2 linked regions of the Macaca mulatta genome follow. The protein of the gene in region 1 interacts with the protein of each later gene in a pairwise test. Links are inferred from orthologs where the notes say so. Each region holds a gene or a part of one and is shown in the gene's direction. Other genes may lie near its edges. The genes, in order: RNF40 and NCBP1.

What was found.
Region 2: the proteins of RNF40 (region 1) and NCBP1 interact in binary tests that used the Homo sapiens proteins (3 or more experiments, as listed by UniProt). The two-hybrid records come from large-scale screens. The link is inferred for Macaca mulatta from reciprocal best matches to the Homo sapiens genes RNF40 and NCBP1.

Annotation. Positions count from the first base shown.
Region 1 is NC_133425.1:29,393,278-29,397,083, forward strand, and holds part of RNF40 (E3 ubiquitin-protein ligase BRE1B), read left to right. Parts: intron 1-66; coding exon 67-494; intron 495-582; coding exon 583-700; intron 701-801; coding exon 802-951; intron 952-1,149; coding exon 1,150-1,362; intron 1,363-1,438; coding exon 1,439-1,564; intron 1,565-3,502; coding exon 3,503-3,643; coding exon of another isoform or gene 3,644-3,658; exon of another isoform or gene 3,659-3,672; intron 3,673-3,741; coding exon of another isoform or gene 3,742-3,757; coding exon 3,758-3,806.
Region 2 is NC_133420.1:60,765,801-60,770,120, reverse strand, and holds the start of NCBP1 (nuclear cap-binding protein subunit 1), read left to right. Parts: upstream 1-1,223; 5' UTR 1,224-1,470; coding exon 1,471-1,504; intron 1,505-4,320. UniProt on the Homo sapiens protein: Component of the cap-binding complex (CBC), which binds cotranscriptionally to the 5'-cap of pre-mRNAs and is involved in various processes such as pre-mRNA splicing, translation regulation, nonsense-mediated mRNA decay, RNA-mediated gene silencing (RNAi) by microRNAs (miRNAs) and mRNA export.

The DNA of each region.
Region 1 (3,806 bases):
AAAAGCTTTGGCTAGACTCCAATGAACAACATCTGACTTCATCCTTCTTCCTCTCTGCCTTTGCAGCTCCGGGCCCAGACCAGTGGCTCTACCCACTCCACCCCCAACCTGGGCCACCCAGAGGACTCTGGCCTCAGTGCCCCAGCCCCAGGGAAAGAGGAGGGTGGGCCAGGCCCTGTCAGTACCCCCGACAACAGAAAGGAAATGGCTCCAGTGCCTGGCACCACCACTACTACCACTTCAGTGAAGAAGGAGGAGCTGGTCCCCTCTGAAGAGGATGTCCAGGGCTTAACCCTTGGGGCCCAGGGCCCTTCCTCCCGGGGCCGAGAACCCGAGGCCAGGCCCAAGCGGGAGCTTCGGGAACGAGAAGGTCCTGGCTTGGGTCCTCCACCTGTAGCCTCCGCTCTCTCAAGGGCCGATCGGGAGAAGGCCAAGGTGGAAGAAGCCAAGAGGAAGGAATCAGAACTCCTCAAGGGTCTCCGAGCAGAGCTCAAGTGAGACTGTATTCCTGTCTCCTTCCTGACCCTGCCAGGTGGCCTCCAGTCCCACTCACCAAGACTTCCTCCTGTACCTCCTTGCCAGGAAGGCCCAGGAGAGCCAGAAGGAGATGAAACTGCTGCTGGATATGTACAAGTCAGCACCTAAGGAACAGCGGGATAAGGTGCAGCTCATGGCAGCAGAACGCAAGGCCAAGGCCGAGGTGAGGGCAGCTGGGGCTTGTGGGACATGCAGAAAGGCAGAACAGAGTCCTAGGTCAGCAGGAAGCAGTGTCAAGAGAGTTCCTTTTTCCCTGTGCTGTAGGTTGATGAGCTGCGGAGCCGCATCCGGGAATTGGAGGAGAGGGATCGAAGGGAGAGCAAGAAGATCGCGGATGAGGATGCCCTGCGGCGCATTCGGCAGGCAGAGGAGCAGATAGAACACCTGCAGCGCAAGCTGGGTGCCACCAAGCAGGTGCGGCCCCTGTGTTGCCCTCGCCTCCGAATGCAGAGAGATCCCTTCAAACCCTGTTGGGTGCCTGTAGTGCCTGCAGCACCTTGATGATCTGGGTCCCCTCTGTGGTTCTTTGCTTTGCTGCGTTTTCCCATGGTTCCCCCATAGCCATCCTGTCCACTTCCCATGTTCCATCTTGTCTCCTCCCACTTGCTGCAGGAGGAGGAGGCTCTGCTCTCAGAGATGGATGTGACAGGTCAGGCTTTTGAGGACATGCAGGAACAGAATGGGCGGCTGCTACAGCAGTTGCGGGAAAAGGACGATGCCAACTTTAAGCTGATGTCAGAGCGGATCAAGGCCAATCAGATTCACAAGCTGCTGCGGGAGGAGAAGGATGAGTTGGGCGAGCAGGTCCTTGGCCTCAAGTCCCAGGTATGGCCGCCCCCAGCTTATAGGGTGGAGCTGGAGAGGCGGGGGTCATGCCCCTGAGTCCTCCTCTGGTCCTTAGGTGGATGCCCAGCTGCTGACTGTGCAGAAGCTGGAGGAGAAGGAGCGGGCCTTGCAGGGCAGCCTTGGGGGTGTGGAGAAGGAGCTGACGCTGCGCAGCCAAGCCCTGGAGCTCAACAAGCGGAAGGTGAGGCTGGGCCAGGGGGACACACAACTTGGGCTGCTGGCTCACCTCCTCACCTTCCGGTTCTGCTCAGAGCACCCAACGCGATAGCCTAAGATGAAGCCAGGCTGTCACAGAACAGCTCACACATCCTGAACATTTACATGCGCCAGGCCACATGCTGAGTGCTTGACATGCTTGGTCACATTTCAGTCTCATTAATCCTATCAAGATGGTGTTTACGGGTTTGGGGGCTCACGCCTGTAATCCCAACACTTTGGGAAACAGAGGCGGGAGGTTTGCTTGAGGCCAGGAGTTGGAGACCAGCCTGGGCAACATAGTGAGACTCCCATCTCTACAAAAAAATTTTAAAATTAGCTGATTGTGGTGGTATGTGCCTGTAGTCCCAGCTTCTCAAGTGACAGGCTGACAGGTGAGAGGATCACTTGGAGGTTGAGGCTGCAGTGAGCTATGATCACACCACTGCACTGCAGTCTGGGTGACAAGGATGAGACTCTGTCCCTAGGAAAAAAATAAAAGGTGGAAATTTTTTTTTTTTTTTTTTTTTTTTGAGATGGAGTCTTGTTCTGTCGCCCAGGCTGGAGTGCAGTGTTGTGATCTTGGCTCTGCAACCTCCACCTCCCAGGTTCAAGCAATTCTCCCACCTCAGCCTTCCAAGTAGCTGGGATTACAGGTGCGCACCACCATGCCCGGCTAATTTTTGTATTTTTTTTAGTAGAGATGGGGTTTCACCATGTTGGCCAGGCTGGTCTCAAACTCCTGACCTTGTGATCCGCCCACCTTGGCCTCCCAAAGTGCTGGGGTTACAGCGTGAGCCCCCACGCCTGGCCGAATTTTGTTTTTAACCTCATTTTATAAATAAGGAAACTGAGGCTCAGGGAGGTGGACTGATATGCTCAAGAGGGAGTGGCCCTGGTATGTGGGTCCAAGCCTCCTTGACTCCAGGCTCTACCTTCTAACCACTCACTGGTGAACTGTAAACTGGGGATGATGTGCCCTCTCACATAGTTGTGTTAAATATAAGAAATGTCTAGCTTTGGCTAAAAGCTTAACATTAACATTGATTTCCATTTCCTCTGAAGCTGTTTTCTTCTCCAGTTAGTTCATTCATTTAAGCAGTGTGTTTGTGGTTTTTTTTTTTTTTGGTTTATTTTTTTAGACGGAGTCTAGCTCTATTGCCCAGACTGGAGTACAGTGGCTTGGTCTCAGCTCACTGCAGCCTCTGCCTCCCAGGTTCAAGCAATTCTTCTGCCTTAGTGTCCTAAGTAGCTGGGACTACAGGCACCTACTACCACACCCAGCTAATTTTTGTATTTTTAGTAGAGACAGGGTTTCACTGTGTTGGCCAGGCTGGTCTCAAACTCCTGACCCCATGATTTGCCCGCCTCGGCCTCCCAAAGTGTTGGGATTACAAGCGTGAGCCTCTGCGCCCAGCCCATTTAAGCAGTATATTTTACACCCCTGCTATGTACTAGGCCTTGTGCTGATTGCTGTGGAGACGGTGGGAACTAGAAGGTCCCTGCCTTCCAGTCAAAGCTGTAACTTCAGGTCTTGGCAGGCAGAGCAGGCCAGTAATCCCCCAAATAAAATAGTGCAGGTCACAGTATGCCTTATGCAGGAATCTGAGGTGCTGTCAAAGAAAAAAGGGGAGCCTCTCAGGAGGTGACTCTTGAGCTGAGGCCCGGGGAGCTGTGCGTGTGTTGGGGAAGTTGAGGGGAGCAAAGAGGAGAGCCTTGTGAAGCCTCAAAAACCAGACAGCATCACACAGGGGAGGAACTTGAGAGGGAGAACAGGAGGGAAGGGCTCAGGGATCAGGAGGCAGGAGTAGCTCCAGGGCAGGTGTCACTGGGGCACTGGACACAAGCATCGGTGGGCCGTGGCTCCACATGCCTGAGTCACCAGGCTCATACCAGTGCCTCCTTCCTGTTCCACTCCACTCAGGCTGTAGAAGCCGCCCAGCTGGCCGAGGACCTGAAGGTGCAGCTGGAGCATGTGCAGACTCGGCTGCGGGAGATCCAGCCCTGCCTGGCAGAGAGCCGGGCTGCTCGTGAGAAAGAGAGTTTCAACCTCAAGAGGGCTCAGGTGCGTGCAGGGTGAGGGGCCAGGCTAGGGTGGTCCATGGTCACGGACCTATCATGGGGGCAGATGGCTCAAGGGTGAGGACCCTTGCCCTTAGCCAGGCCTCTCCTACCCCAGGAGGACATCTCACGGCTGCGGCGCAAGCTGGAAAAGCAGAGGAAGGTGG
Region 2 (4,320 bases), on another chromosome or scaffold:
TCTCGCTTTGTCCCCCAGGCTGGAGTGCAGTGGTGTGATCACGGCTCACCGTATTCTCGACCTCCTGGGCTCAAGGGATCCTCCCACCTCCGCCCCCAACCCTCCCCTCGAGTAACTGGGACTACAGGAGCCAAACACTAGGCCCGGCTAATTTTTTTTTTTTTTTTTTTTTTTTTCCCTGTAAAGACAGTGTTCGCCTCGTTGTCCAGATGGGTCTTGAACTCCTAGGCTCAAGCGGATCCGCCCACGTCGGCCTCCCAAAGTGTTGGGATTACAGGCGTTAGCTACCCCGCCCGGCCGTCACAGGAGACTTTTAAACAGAGCAGTAACACGATCTGATTCAGGATTTGTGTTGAAAGGAGAACAGGCAGGGTTTACAGATCATTGTTATGTAAAAAGTGAGGGAAAAGAGCTAAGAAAGACTCTCTAAATTTTTGGATTAAGCAGCCGATGGATGACGTCATTTACTGAAATGGGTAAGACTGAAAGAGAATTAGGCCGGGAGAGTGAAATTTCAGATGGCCATGGACAAAGCAGATAAGCCAGTATGGTACTCATAAAGACATCAGGGCAGGGGACGGTCACACACAGGCATACAGGTACCCAATAACCCTTGATTACTAAAACAATCATTTGTTCCTTCTTAAGCAAACAACTTAGGGAAAATGACAGCCAGCCGGCAAGCCGGGAGCAGCACGCTCGCGTCAGGGCCGGCCTTTCCAACCCAGGGGGAGGCACGTGCGGCACCGCCTCCCGCCCAGGCCCCACCCCGCATGCCGAGCTTGGCCCAACCTCTCCGCCCACTTTTCCCAAGGCGGCAAAAGCCAGAAAGTGGGAGTAGACGAGCACATACCCGCCAGTCCTGATCCTTTCTTAGGTCTCTCTTCCCTGCACTGTTTCCACCTAGCAATTGTTACCGCTCACCGCCCTGCAGTGTGTTCCCCGTCGCGTGTTTGGGTAGAAAAGCTCGTTCGTGACGTCACCAGGCTCCGGAAGTCTCCTGGACGTCGGCGCAAGGGCCGCCGGGAAAACCATTGAGAAGCCCCGGAGGACCGGCCTGAGCGGAGGCGGGGACTAGAGCGGCCGCCGGCACCACCCGCCTTCAGGCGTACGACGACAGCGGTCCGGGGTCTCTGACTGGCCGAAACGGCGGCACTTTCTGCGTGGCCCCGGAAGGACACAGAGCGGAAGGCGGGAGAAAGAAGCAGCCGGCAGGCGGGGGCAGCCTGAGGGGGCGGTTGCGTGTGTGCCCGACGCCCGTAGCCCACTGAGCTTCCTCACGCCGGCTCTAGCAGCGCCGAGCCCACCCGGCGGCCTCTCCTGAGCTTCCGGGAGCCGTGGCGAGCGAGTGCGCCTGCGTGCCGGCCCATCCGCGCGCCTCGCAGCTGTCCTTGCGCCGGCCAGCGGCAGGACAGTTTCCTCGGCGCTTACCGCCTGGTTTCTGGGCTCCGCGGCGCACCGGAGGGCAGCATGTCGCGGCGGCGGCACAGCGACGAGAACGACGGTGAGTACCTGCAGCCCGGCCGCGGAGGCCGCTCCCGGTTGGGAACCGAGGCTCGGCATCTTTGAGTGTCCATGGAAGAGACTGGAAGCTCTTCTCCCCGGGACCGTGTGGGGAGCCGCGGAGGGAAAGAGGGGAATACAGTGGCGGTGTGACTGGGCGGCTTCTAGAAAGCGACTTTTTTTCTCCCGCCCCAGTTCTTTGAGTCAAGGGCCGATCCTCGGGAAAGGAGGCCTGGTGAACCCCATGGGTAGACCCTTGGTCTCTAAGGAGGCTTCAGAATTTGGTCCTTAGCACCACCGAGCAGGGAAGCACACCTGTGTCCGTGCTGCCGCGTCTTAGGGACCCACTGGTCCCAGTGTCTCGTTTTAACCTTCAAAGCTGCACCTGAGAAGGGCTCGGAAGAATTCACTGAAGGAAAGAACTGAGAGATCTCATGAGTTGCAATCTGAACTCTGTTCCGGTAGTGGTCATCCGTTGATTTCCCTTATTTCGAGCTGCAGGGAAAGAATATTGTCTTACCCACGCCCAAGAGGTCCCTAATAAACAGACACAGGTTACTGCAGATTTTGAAGTGGCCGTAAGCGCATTTCCCTCGTGTGAGAGAGAGTGCTAGAAAACTAACTTCAGGCCTCAGAGAGTTAGAACAGGGGTTCCCATCTGCATTTGGATGATTGTGCTCGTGGAGATCATAGTGTTGTCTTCATAAAGACGGAATAATTCTAGTTTTAACAACAAAAAAATGCTTATATTATACATAAGCCTTACAATCGGTCAAAAACACAAATCCACACACCAAAAAAGTGAAACTTAGAGTAATTCTGTTAACGTTTTAGTGTATTGTTTTTTGAAGAGAGTGTAGAGTAGTGGTTAAGAGGTGAGACTTTGGAACCAGAGGGTTTAGATTCAAAGCCAGACCCTACCATTTACTTGGTGATCTTTTCCAGGTTATGTAATCTCCTTAAACTTTAGTCTGTAATATAGACGTAATGATACTTATATCTTCTGGGTTTTGTGAAGGTTAGATGAGGTAATACACATCAGCAACGATGATGTTTTAATCATTTGCCAGCGCTTAAGAGGCGGTAAACGTTAGCAGATGCTGTCAATGTAAGAAAAGAAACCGTAACAGACATTTTAAATTGAGTAAGTTTTATCCATTAACGTTTGTCTCTCCTTGAGTGTTGTGGCAGTTGAGGTGGAGGCAGAATCGCACGCATTTAGTTTTAATAGTGAAACACCAGATTTCTTACGAAGGCGTGGTTTGAGAGGATATTCTAGTCCAGCTTTCTCATCTGACACCTAAGGGTTTAGAGATTGAGCATAACACGGAGAGACAGCTGTCAGTTCCCAAACACCAGCAATAGCAAATCCAGTCCGGGGCTCTCTTCACTACCCAGGTATAAATTAAATAACTATGCTGCATGCTTTGATTTCTAACACAAGAGGCTTCTTGTGTAACCTGTGTGCAAGGCACAGAAAATACAATCCCCTCCCCTTTTTTTTGAGACGGAGTGTCACTCTTGTTAGGCTGGAGTGCAGTGGCGCGATCTCGGCTTACTGCAACCTCTGCCTCTCAGGCTCAAGTGATCCTCCCATCTCAACCTCCTGAGTAACTGGGACCACAGGCGCAGGCCACCACGCCCAGCAATTTTTATTTTTCCCTGTATTTTTTGTAGAGACGGGGTTTCGCCACGTTGCCCAGGCTGGTCTTGAACTTCTGAGCTCAGGCGATCCACCCGCCTCGGCCTCCCAAAGTGCCGGGATTACAGATGTGAGCTACTGCGCCCGCCGATAATACAATTTTCTTATGCTTTGTAATTGACTAATCAAAAACTAATATACTTCTCAAGTCATTACTTGGGGGTTGGAGAACTTGAGTGTTTTGTTCTTTCCAATTTCTTTGTTGTTCTTATGCTTTCTTTCTCTCACTTATAGGTAATCCCTAAAGAGAGAGGAAATGTCATTGTAGGGCATCCTAGAGAATTGGAATGCAAATATGTAGAAAAATAACTTTTGCTTTGGTTATTGGGAGACTTACATAACTTTCTTGGAGTTGGCTTCATTTTAACACCAGCTTGCAGCCAAATCGCTGTCCATTTGGGTCTTGCTGCAGGAACCTCAGAGTAAATAAGACAAGTAAAACAAGGCCTTCATTAAGCAAAAGTTTTTAAGGTTGGTATTTTAGTATGGGAGAGGCAGATACAGTTCATGTTTGATAATACAGCAAATCTGAAATTTTTGTAAATTGCCACAATTTGGATAACAATCAGCTGGAGTTTACCCTACATAGTGATCTGAATCAGATTATTTTGGATACTTTCCTTTTAGTTAAACATCTATTTTTTTAAAAATGAGAACTCTTAGAAGCTTAAGGATTATAGAAGGCTATCTTAAAATAGGCTAGGAATTATTACAGTCAGAATTAAATAGGTGCATCTGAGCATTTCTGGACAGTTGTCAGCTGTTGTCAGTCTCTGCCCTGACTTTCATATGCTTGACACTCACTCTCTCTCTATATATAAAATACTATAATAGAATATATAATATATTTACATATATATATTTTACATAAAATATGTAATTATAACGTGTATACTTTATATATAGAAGCAATCATATGGAAAGTAATATATCTGAAAAATGATTTATTCAACAAATACTTAACAGTGCCAAGCTCTGTCCTAATTACTTGCAATACAGCAGTGGACAATATAAAGATAGAGCCTCCCCTCTAGAGTAGAGAGAAGACAGTCAAGTAAAGTGTAGTGTATCATACAGTGACAGACGCTATGGAGTGATAACAGGTAAAGCGGGCA